Ovis aries: one gene and its partner. The protein of the gene in region 1 interacts with the protein of each later gene in a pairwise test. Links are inferred from orthologs where the notes say so. Each region holds a gene or a part of one and is shown in the gene's direction. Other genes may lie near its edges.

Region 1 (4,046 bases):
CACTTATGCAAACAGTAAGCATAAAAAGAATGGAGTGTCTATATTAATAAAAAATAGAGTTTAAGACAGAGAGCATTTCCAGAGATAAAGAGTACCGTTCTGTACTGATAAAAGGGTCCGTTTTTTCATCAAGAAAACGTAATCATAAATGTGTATGAGCTTAATGACAAGCCTTCAAAATACATGATGCAAAAATGGAAAGAATTAAAGGGAAAAATAAGCAATTCTATAATCCTAGTTGGAGATTTTAATACCTTTCTTTCAGTAGTGATATAATAACTAGATAAAACATCTAAAAAGTCACATAAGACTGAAAAACCCTATCTATCACCTTGAACAAATTGGTATTTAAAGAACATTATACTGAATTATACTGAATATCTGCATCCACATTCTTTTCAAGTACATATGGTTATAGTCATAATGATAGACATGTTCTAGGCCACTGTACAAGTCAATAAAGTTAGAGGAATTTAAATCAGATAGCATATGTTGTCTTGGGAATTCCCTGGCAGTCCAGCAGTTAGGATTCCAGTGCTTTCACTGCCAGGGCCTGGGTTCCAACCCTGGTCAGGGAACTAAGATCACATAAGCCCCCAATTTGTGGAAATTAAGCAACATGCTTCTAAATTAATCTACCATGTAAAAATCATAATAAAAATTATAATATATTTGAACTATAGAATAAGGCATATATAACTTTGTGAGAGGCAACTAAACAGTGCCTACAGGGAAATGTATAGCTTAAACTGTTTACATTAGAAAATAAAGATAGTCTAAAATCAAAGCCCAGATCCTGCAAAGGTGATATGTCTAAAAGAAGACACCTCCACTACCACCAATAAAACTGAGATCCCAAAGGGTGATAAAGGTGAACTAGAAGTAAACCCATTTCACCTCCTGGAAACTGAAAGAGCTCTGAGAACTCTGGTGCTGAGGAGGGTGCAAAGAAAAGAAAAAGAAAGAGAGTAATAGACCCTGGTAAGTTGTAACAAGAGGCCAATTTTTATACATATTCGGGATGAAATTTCATATCACTTGGGTTATCAAAACAAAATTATTAGTTTGTTCCTTCTTTTTATTGCTGTAAAAGAAAAATATTTTTCCTACCATCTTCCCTCCCTTTCAGTACAAGCTGAGTGCAAAAGATACGGGCCATTTCACCAGTTTCCTCCCCGGATCTTATAGGGCCCCGCCTTCTGAAGTAGTTTCACTTTTGTTTGTAGTTAACTTCCTCACCCAGACCTCAGGAACCAGCAGCTACGGAGCGAACTAGCGCGAGTATGTGACTGTCTGCTGTGTGGAGAAGGGAGTGGAAAAGGTCAGACCCATGTTTTCTCATGTTTTCTCCACGGAGGGATAGGAGATGTGTGTTGGAGGAGGGGATGGGGTAGCCGGGTCTTTGTTTCATGGCTCTCACACAGGGTCTGCTTTCTTTTTCGCCAGACTCCATGTTAAATCTCTGAAGTACAGAAGGTGAGGTGAGTGAAGGTCCAGGACAGGCGCCCTGGGGGCTCAGAGGAGGGGAGGTCCTCCTTCCCTAGGAGCACAGCACCAGTGGCAGAGAGGAGCCTAGTGTATCGCTTGGGGGAGATAACCTGCCAAAGAACAGAAATCTCCAGAAGAAATTCTCTTTGGATCCAAGAGACTGGTCCTGGTTATTAGAGGGACATAGCCTATCCAGTAACTTTAGTTGAATCCTTGCTTTTGATTCTGGCCCTGTCAGTTCAAAGGAAAGGCCACTCTCAACTTCCTTCATCCTCTGCTGCCCTCCCCGACAAACTCCCAGGAATGAGGAAGCAGGGAACTGAGCCAGGTTCCCAAAGCAGTCTAAGCTGTGGGTGAGAGGGTCGACTCCTTTGTCTATTGGTTGTCAGGTCCCTAGGGGTTAAGCCCTCAGGGTTGAGAGGCCCTGCTTTCCCATCTGCTTCTCACCTTCCCCTATCCTGGATTCTGCAAACTCCCTGTGTTCCAGTCACTCTGAACTTCTCCTGAGACACAGGTCCTGCTTGGAGAAGAGAGTCACCTCCCTAGCTGTCAAGGAGTTCTGCTCCCCTTCTCTTCCCAGCTCTTTTTTCCTCAGGTCAGGGAGCGGGGAAAAGAACTTGATTTCTTTACTTGTTCTTCTGGTTGTCTTTTTTGCTTTCATTATCATCCAGTTAGGTTTCCACTAGGGACTTTATTATGGTGTCTTTTGTTCTTTGTGGGGCAGGAGTGAGGGTTTAATTAGAGTCAAATTTGATTGTCTCAATCAAATCCTTAATAGACCACCCCTTTACCTAAGTGTTACTACCACTTACAAAGAAACAATTCTGGTACTAATTATTCTTGATGTTCATTAGAGGGAGAAAAACTTTAACAGTCCCTCACTGAGTTCTCTCTCTTGCTGCAGCTTTGGTTGAGGAAGTCAGCTTGGTTTCTCTCCCTCTCTCAGTGAAAACTTACAATGATGGAATGTTCTCCATCGGGGCTTTCATATAGCTACCAATCACCTGGAGCTATTAAGCAATTTAAATATGGCTAAGAGGTGCGAGAAATAGAATTTTAAATTCTATTTAATTGTAATTAAAGTGGCCACATGTAATAGTCATGACCATATTCCACAACACAGCTACATTCAATGCATCGTCTAAATTCCAACCTATTTCTTCTCTCTCTAGAGCAGACTCCATGACCTGTTGAAACCAGTGGCAACCAGTGCATTGCACAGAGACTCAGGAGAGGTAAAGTTCCATCACTGTGGGAAAATTCTGATTACTTCATCTCTGTGTCTAGATTCAATATTGGAGCTTTACAGGAGAAACCATGGCCTCAAAGAAGATGAGGGAGGAAGCCACCTGCTCCATCTGCCTGCACCTGATGACTAACGCAGTGAGCATCAGCTGTGGACACAGCTACTGCCACGCGTGCATAGTGAGCTTCTTTGAGAACCTCTACCAGATGCAACCATGGCTGAAGACATTCTCCTGTCCCCAGTGTCGAGCACCATTTAACATGGAGAGCCTCCGGCCCAACAAGCAGCTGGGAAATCTCATCGAAGTCATCAAGGAGATGGACCAGGAAATGTCATGTGAGGAACATGGAGAGAAGCTCCACCTGTTCTGTGAAGACGAGGGCCAGCTTATCTGCTGGCTCTGTGATCGTGGAGCCCAGCACAAAGGGCATGCCACAGCTCTGGTGGAAGAAGCATGCCAAGGCTACAGGGTGAGTGGTGGCCCACAGGGCTTCGGCAAGTACTTGGCCTCATATTGCCCCCTGAGACCTGAGATTCTTTGGCCTGAAACCCAAGATTAGGATCCTGAAATCCTATATCCTGTCATTCATCTGAAAAGTAGAATGATGGGTCCTCACTAAATCAAGTCCCAAAGGTTACTTTTGTCCCTATCCTTTCTGGCTCTGATGAACTCCTCCCTGCTTTAGAATGCCATGTGCACACCTGCATGTTTTATTGCTTCATACCATGTGTGTAATTTGAGAAACAACAATATGCAAGACCATGGGAAAGAGTCTGAAAACACAGGGGTCAAAGACACACCACCTTAGATGTCTTACAGTCTAATAGGAAAGACAAATCCGCAAACAGGCTGCCTGGAGTCCCCTGATTTGGATGGTGGAGCAGAGCCCTAAGGGGTGTGGAGTAGTAACTAAGGAATCTTCCCAAGAATGACTCTTGAAGAATACATAAAAATTAACCAAATATATTAATAGAAGTATGGAGAAGGGAGAGGACATTCCAGACAGAGGGGACCACATGTGCAAAAGCACAGCCATGGGAGCATACCTGACTTGCTATGACTAGGCCGGGGGGTATGCAGGGGAGGCAGGTGATGTTACGGGAATGAAAATCAGGTCTGCATCCTAGCCCAGAGTAGTCCTGGCCATGGGGGGATTTTCATTTGCAGAGTGAAAGATCGGGCTAACAATGAAAAGAACATTCTGGTACTGATACAATGAAAGGAATACTAAGTAGTAAAATTCAGATTATTCCTGTGAGAAGTGGAAAGAGATCAGTTCTAAGCCAGATTCAGGAAAGAGTGTGAGTGGAA
Region 2 (4,168 bases), on another chromosome or scaffold:
GAACACAATACTCATTGGATAGTTTCTACAAAAAATAATGTTGGAAAAACTGGATATCCATATGATAAAGAATAAGGTCATTATACTAAATGAAGTAAGTCAGACAGATGGACATTGTCATATCACAGCCCCATCTGACCCCCTTCTGACTCCCCAGGAAGGGACCAGGGTGAAGCCATAACTGTCATTTTATATTTGCCCTCTGTCCCTCTATTCTACTCCTAAAATGGGTGACAGTGTGGTAGTAGGAGGCAAGGAGCAGCTACTTCTAAATCAGAACACTTGTAATCCTGGGTCAGCCTCATCTCCTCTCAGGATTGTTGTCTTTCTCAGCATGGCAAAAAAAAAAAAACCAACAACCAACAAACAAAAAGCAGGGACTTCTCTGGTGATCCAGTAGGTAAGAATCCGAGCCTTCAAAGCAGGGGCCTGGCTTCCATTCCTGGTCAGGGAACTAAATTCCACATGCCACAGTGAAGAGACCGTGTGCTGTAACAATGATCCAACAGGCGGCAATGAAAATCTCGCGTGATACTGCGCGCCCCAACTAAAACCCAGCGCAGCCAAAACAACAGCCAAACTTTATTACGGATATAATACACACTTATTGCTGGGAACTACAGACCAGCAAAATAGAAAACATAAGTGGTTCATAATCCCCTTACCTCAGAAAAAAAATACTAACATTTTGATACCAATTCTCCTCAGCAGCTTCACGTCAGAGGGACCCTGTCCTCTTCGCTTACTAACTAGCCCTTTCCAGTTACACATATTAACCTGGAGGGAAGTTACTTATTATTTACTTTTTCCTCTCTGGAGTTGTTTCTGGAGGTCGTTCTGTAAATTTTGTTGGGTGAGGGGCATAGATTTGAGAGACAGACTGAAGTTGGAGTTGTGCTTGGAGTTGTTTTTCAGTTTGAAGTGCTCACCTCCTAGCTTTGGGGGCAAAAAGTATTTCAAGCCTTGTTTTTTATGGTATCTGTATTCAAGAACTGGTCATGTCATTTCGGGTTGTTTTACCTCAGAATTTTTTAGCGCTGGCCGCTTTCTGTTCCCTTGAAGGGTAACAGCTATAACTCTGGTGACGACTGGAATTGGCTTTGGCCGTGAGACTTTAATTTGTAATGATGATTGGTGGCTGTACGGGGTGGCCGTGCCTCTCAGGCGCGCGCTCCCTCTGGGTTCAGGACTCTGGTCTACACCAGAGAGGGGAGATCCAGCTAGAAAAGGGCGGAGCTGGGGCGAGGCGTCCGCCCGGGCCTGCCGGCAACCAGGCAACAGGGCCTTAGCAACGGGGAGGGGGCGGGACCTAGGGAGGAAGTCCGATGGCCGCTAAATCTCGCGAGAGTTGCGTTTGCGCGCTAACTCTAAGTGCGAGGGTCCCGGGGTCTGGTTGTGGCTGTTGGCGAGGTTCGGGCCTCTGGGAAACGCGACAAGCCCACCGGCCACCATCATCACCATCATCATTATGGAGACCTCAGCGCACAAGCAGCAGCAGCCTGAGGCGGCCAAGATCAGAAACCTGCCCTGGTAGGAGGGGGCCTGGCTGCTGCGGGGAAGGGGATCGGCCGCGCGCGGAGGCGGTGGCCCGAGTGAACAAGTGGCCAGTCTCCAGCCCGACCTCGCCCCGCAGTCCCCGGACTTGAGGCCGGGGTGGAGCCACAGAAGTTCACCTGCCCTCAACTCCCCAGTCCTGCTCCATTCTATTTATAACTGGCTAGGTCTCCCTTCACCCGTAACCCAGGGCCCCCTTTCCTGTTGCGGAAGAGGAAAACGGCTTCCCCACTTGGGTGACAACATGGGTTCGATCCCATGTCTTCTGACATTGCCTTGGCCTCTGTGGCAGAATATTCTCTTGACAAAATAGTCTCTTCTCTCGGTGCGATTACTGGTCACATTCTAAGCTAGAATAATGATAATGATGATGACAGCACTTCCTAGTTAACTTATATTTCAGTGACTTTGTTACACGCACCCTATTAGATGTTGGAATTTTGCAAAGACCCTGGGAAGAAGATACTGTTATTCCAGCTTTACCAAAAGGTTAAATGACTTGCTTAAGGTCTAGAGTTGGAAAATAGGTTTGGATTTGAACCCAGGTGGTCCACATTCAGAGCTTGCATTCTTAGCCAGTCTGCTTCCACAACTGTGTCTTACTGTTGTTTTAAAGACTGATAGGATTTGGCTTGATTTTGAAAAACTTATTTCTTTTCAAAAGTTTTCAAGATAATGAGTTCGGTTTGTTGTTACTATAGTAAAAATATATAACATACAATTTACAGTTGTAGCGATTTTGTAGTGCATTCAGAATGTTGTGTGATCATCCACTATCTAGTTGCAAAGTTTTTCATATACCTCAAATGGAAACAATATACCTATTGGCAGTCACTCCCCATTCCCCTCTCCCTCAGCTCCTGGCAACCACTCATCTACTTACTGTCTCTATGAATTTGCCTATTCTGGATATTTCATGTAACTTGAATCATACAATATGTAGCCTTTCATGACTGGCTTCTTAGATCAGCAGTTCATGTCCTTTTATTGCCAGTAACATTCCACTGTATGGCTATACCACCATTTATTGATCCATTCATCTGTTAATTTATATTTGGATACAGGTTCAATTTTGGATTAACGTTAGGTGCCCATCCAGGTTGAGATTATAGGCAGATAGCTGGAAAGGTGAAATGAGAGCAGTTTTTCAGGGGGGCGTGGCCACAGGGGTTAGCCTGTGCATTTCATAATGTTTAATAACTTCCCTGATGACTATCCACTAGATGCCAGTAGCACCTTCCACCCAGTTTTGACAGGGGAAAAGTCTGTAGATATTATCAAGAGTTCACTGGAGGACAGAATTGCCCCAATTGAGAACCACTGGGTTAGAGGTTTTTGTATCTCTCTTCTTTTAGTTAGGATATGTATGAAAGGACTCTTCTGCACCTAACAAAATATTCTGGCCTTTATATATGTTGTAATGCATGCTACATTGTATTTTAGGGTTGAAAAATACCGGCCACAGACACTGGATGATCTCATTTCTCATCAGGACATCTTGAGTACTAGTAAGTATCCCTGTGTCAGTGGCTGGTATCCTAGTTGAAGAACCTGGATACATTGCTTAGGGATGTGGTCTCTGCTGTGATAACCTTAAAGAATCTGACTAAGCTTTTGGGATGTGGCTCTGACAGCTGCATCCTTCAGATGTTTCATTCCTGCCCGTGCCCTGGATTTGAACACAGATGTGAAGTAGACTCAGCCCAACTCTGGCCCGCGGTGAATGAGGCGACTGAGACTGATAGCATCTGTCTTTCTCCCCCCATCTTCAGTTCAGAAGTTTATCAGTGAGGACCGCCTGCCGCACCTCCTTCTGTATGGTCCTCCAGGGACAGGAAAGACATCCACCATCCTGGCCTGTGCTAAACAGCTGTACAAAGATAAGGAATTTGGCTCCATGGTCTTGGAGGTAAATGAGAGGATTACCCTTAACTTTCAACGGACTCTGGTTTCTTATTTTTAGTTCTGCTAGTTTTGTTTTCCAACTTAGTTGCCCTGCTGGTGGTTGGGAAAGAAGCAGATATACAATATTTCAATTCACTTTTCCTATAATTGACATTTTTGCCTGGAGATTTTGGGTGTAGCTAGAGGGCAGTGGTAGGGCCAGGTGTTTTTGTTTGCTTTTGCCAGCTTTTACTCAAACACTCAGGGGTCACTTGGTTGCTAGCTGTATCCCATGTGCCCTTCTCCATGTTGCTCCACACTGTTCTTGTCCCAGAAGACTGGGCGGTGTTGCCGACAAGCTCCCTTGCCCTCTGGCTCCTATTGGGTTTGGCCAGGAGTTGGGGGAAAAATGATGCCTGGTCCAGCCCTGGGTCACCACAGACGGACAGTGTCCCCACCCACAGGGCACAGCACCCAGCATTCCCCAGGAGCCAGCATCACTCCCCCAACAACCCCTTAAGACTTGAGAGTGGTAATGGGCCCCAGTAGCCCATAAGGTATTGCATAGCTCTTGTGGTTTCTCCCACACCTCACGAGCACCTTTGAAAATATCTCTTCATTTAATTCTCTTCAAATTACCGAATTTGAGTGTGCTGTTTACTGCTGGGACACGACTGATCCACTTAGATTATGAAATTCTAAATATTGTCTATTGTTAAGAAAAAAAATG

The links.
Region 2: the proteins of TRIM38 (region 1) and RFC5 interact in binary tests that used the Homo sapiens proteins (3 or more experiments, as listed by UniProt). The link is inferred for Ovis aries from reciprocal best matches to the Homo sapiens genes TRIM38 and RFC5.

What each region holds. Positions count from the first base shown.
Region 1 is NC_056073.1:30,926,780-30,930,825, reverse strand, and holds the start of TRIM38 (E3 ubiquitin-protein ligase TRIM38), read left to right. Parts: upstream 1-1,241; 5' UTR 1,242-1,321; intron 1,322-1,446; 5' UTR 1,447-1,476; exon of another isoform or gene 1,477-1,481; intron 1,482-2,660; 5' UTR 2,661-2,805; coding exon 2,806-3,204; intron 3,205-4,046. UniProt on the Homo sapiens protein: E3 ubiquitin-protein and E3 SUMO-protein ligase that acts as a regulator of innate immunity. Acts as a negative regulator of type I interferon IFN-beta production by catalyzing 'Lys-48'-linked polyubiquitination of AZI2/NAP1, leading to its degradation.
Region 2 is NC_056070.1:57,206,528-57,210,695, reverse strand, and holds the start of RFC5 (replication factor C subunit 5), read left to right. Parts: upstream 1-1,363; 5' UTR 1,364-1,468; coding exon 1,469-1,530; intron 1,531-2,997; coding exon 2,998-3,062; intron 3,063-3,326; coding exon 3,327-3,463; intron 3,464-4,168. UniProt on the Homo sapiens protein: Subunit of the replication factor C (RFC) complex which acts during elongation of primed DNA templates by DNA polymerases delta and epsilon, and is necessary for ATP-dependent loading of proliferating cell nuclear antigen (PCNA) onto primed DNA.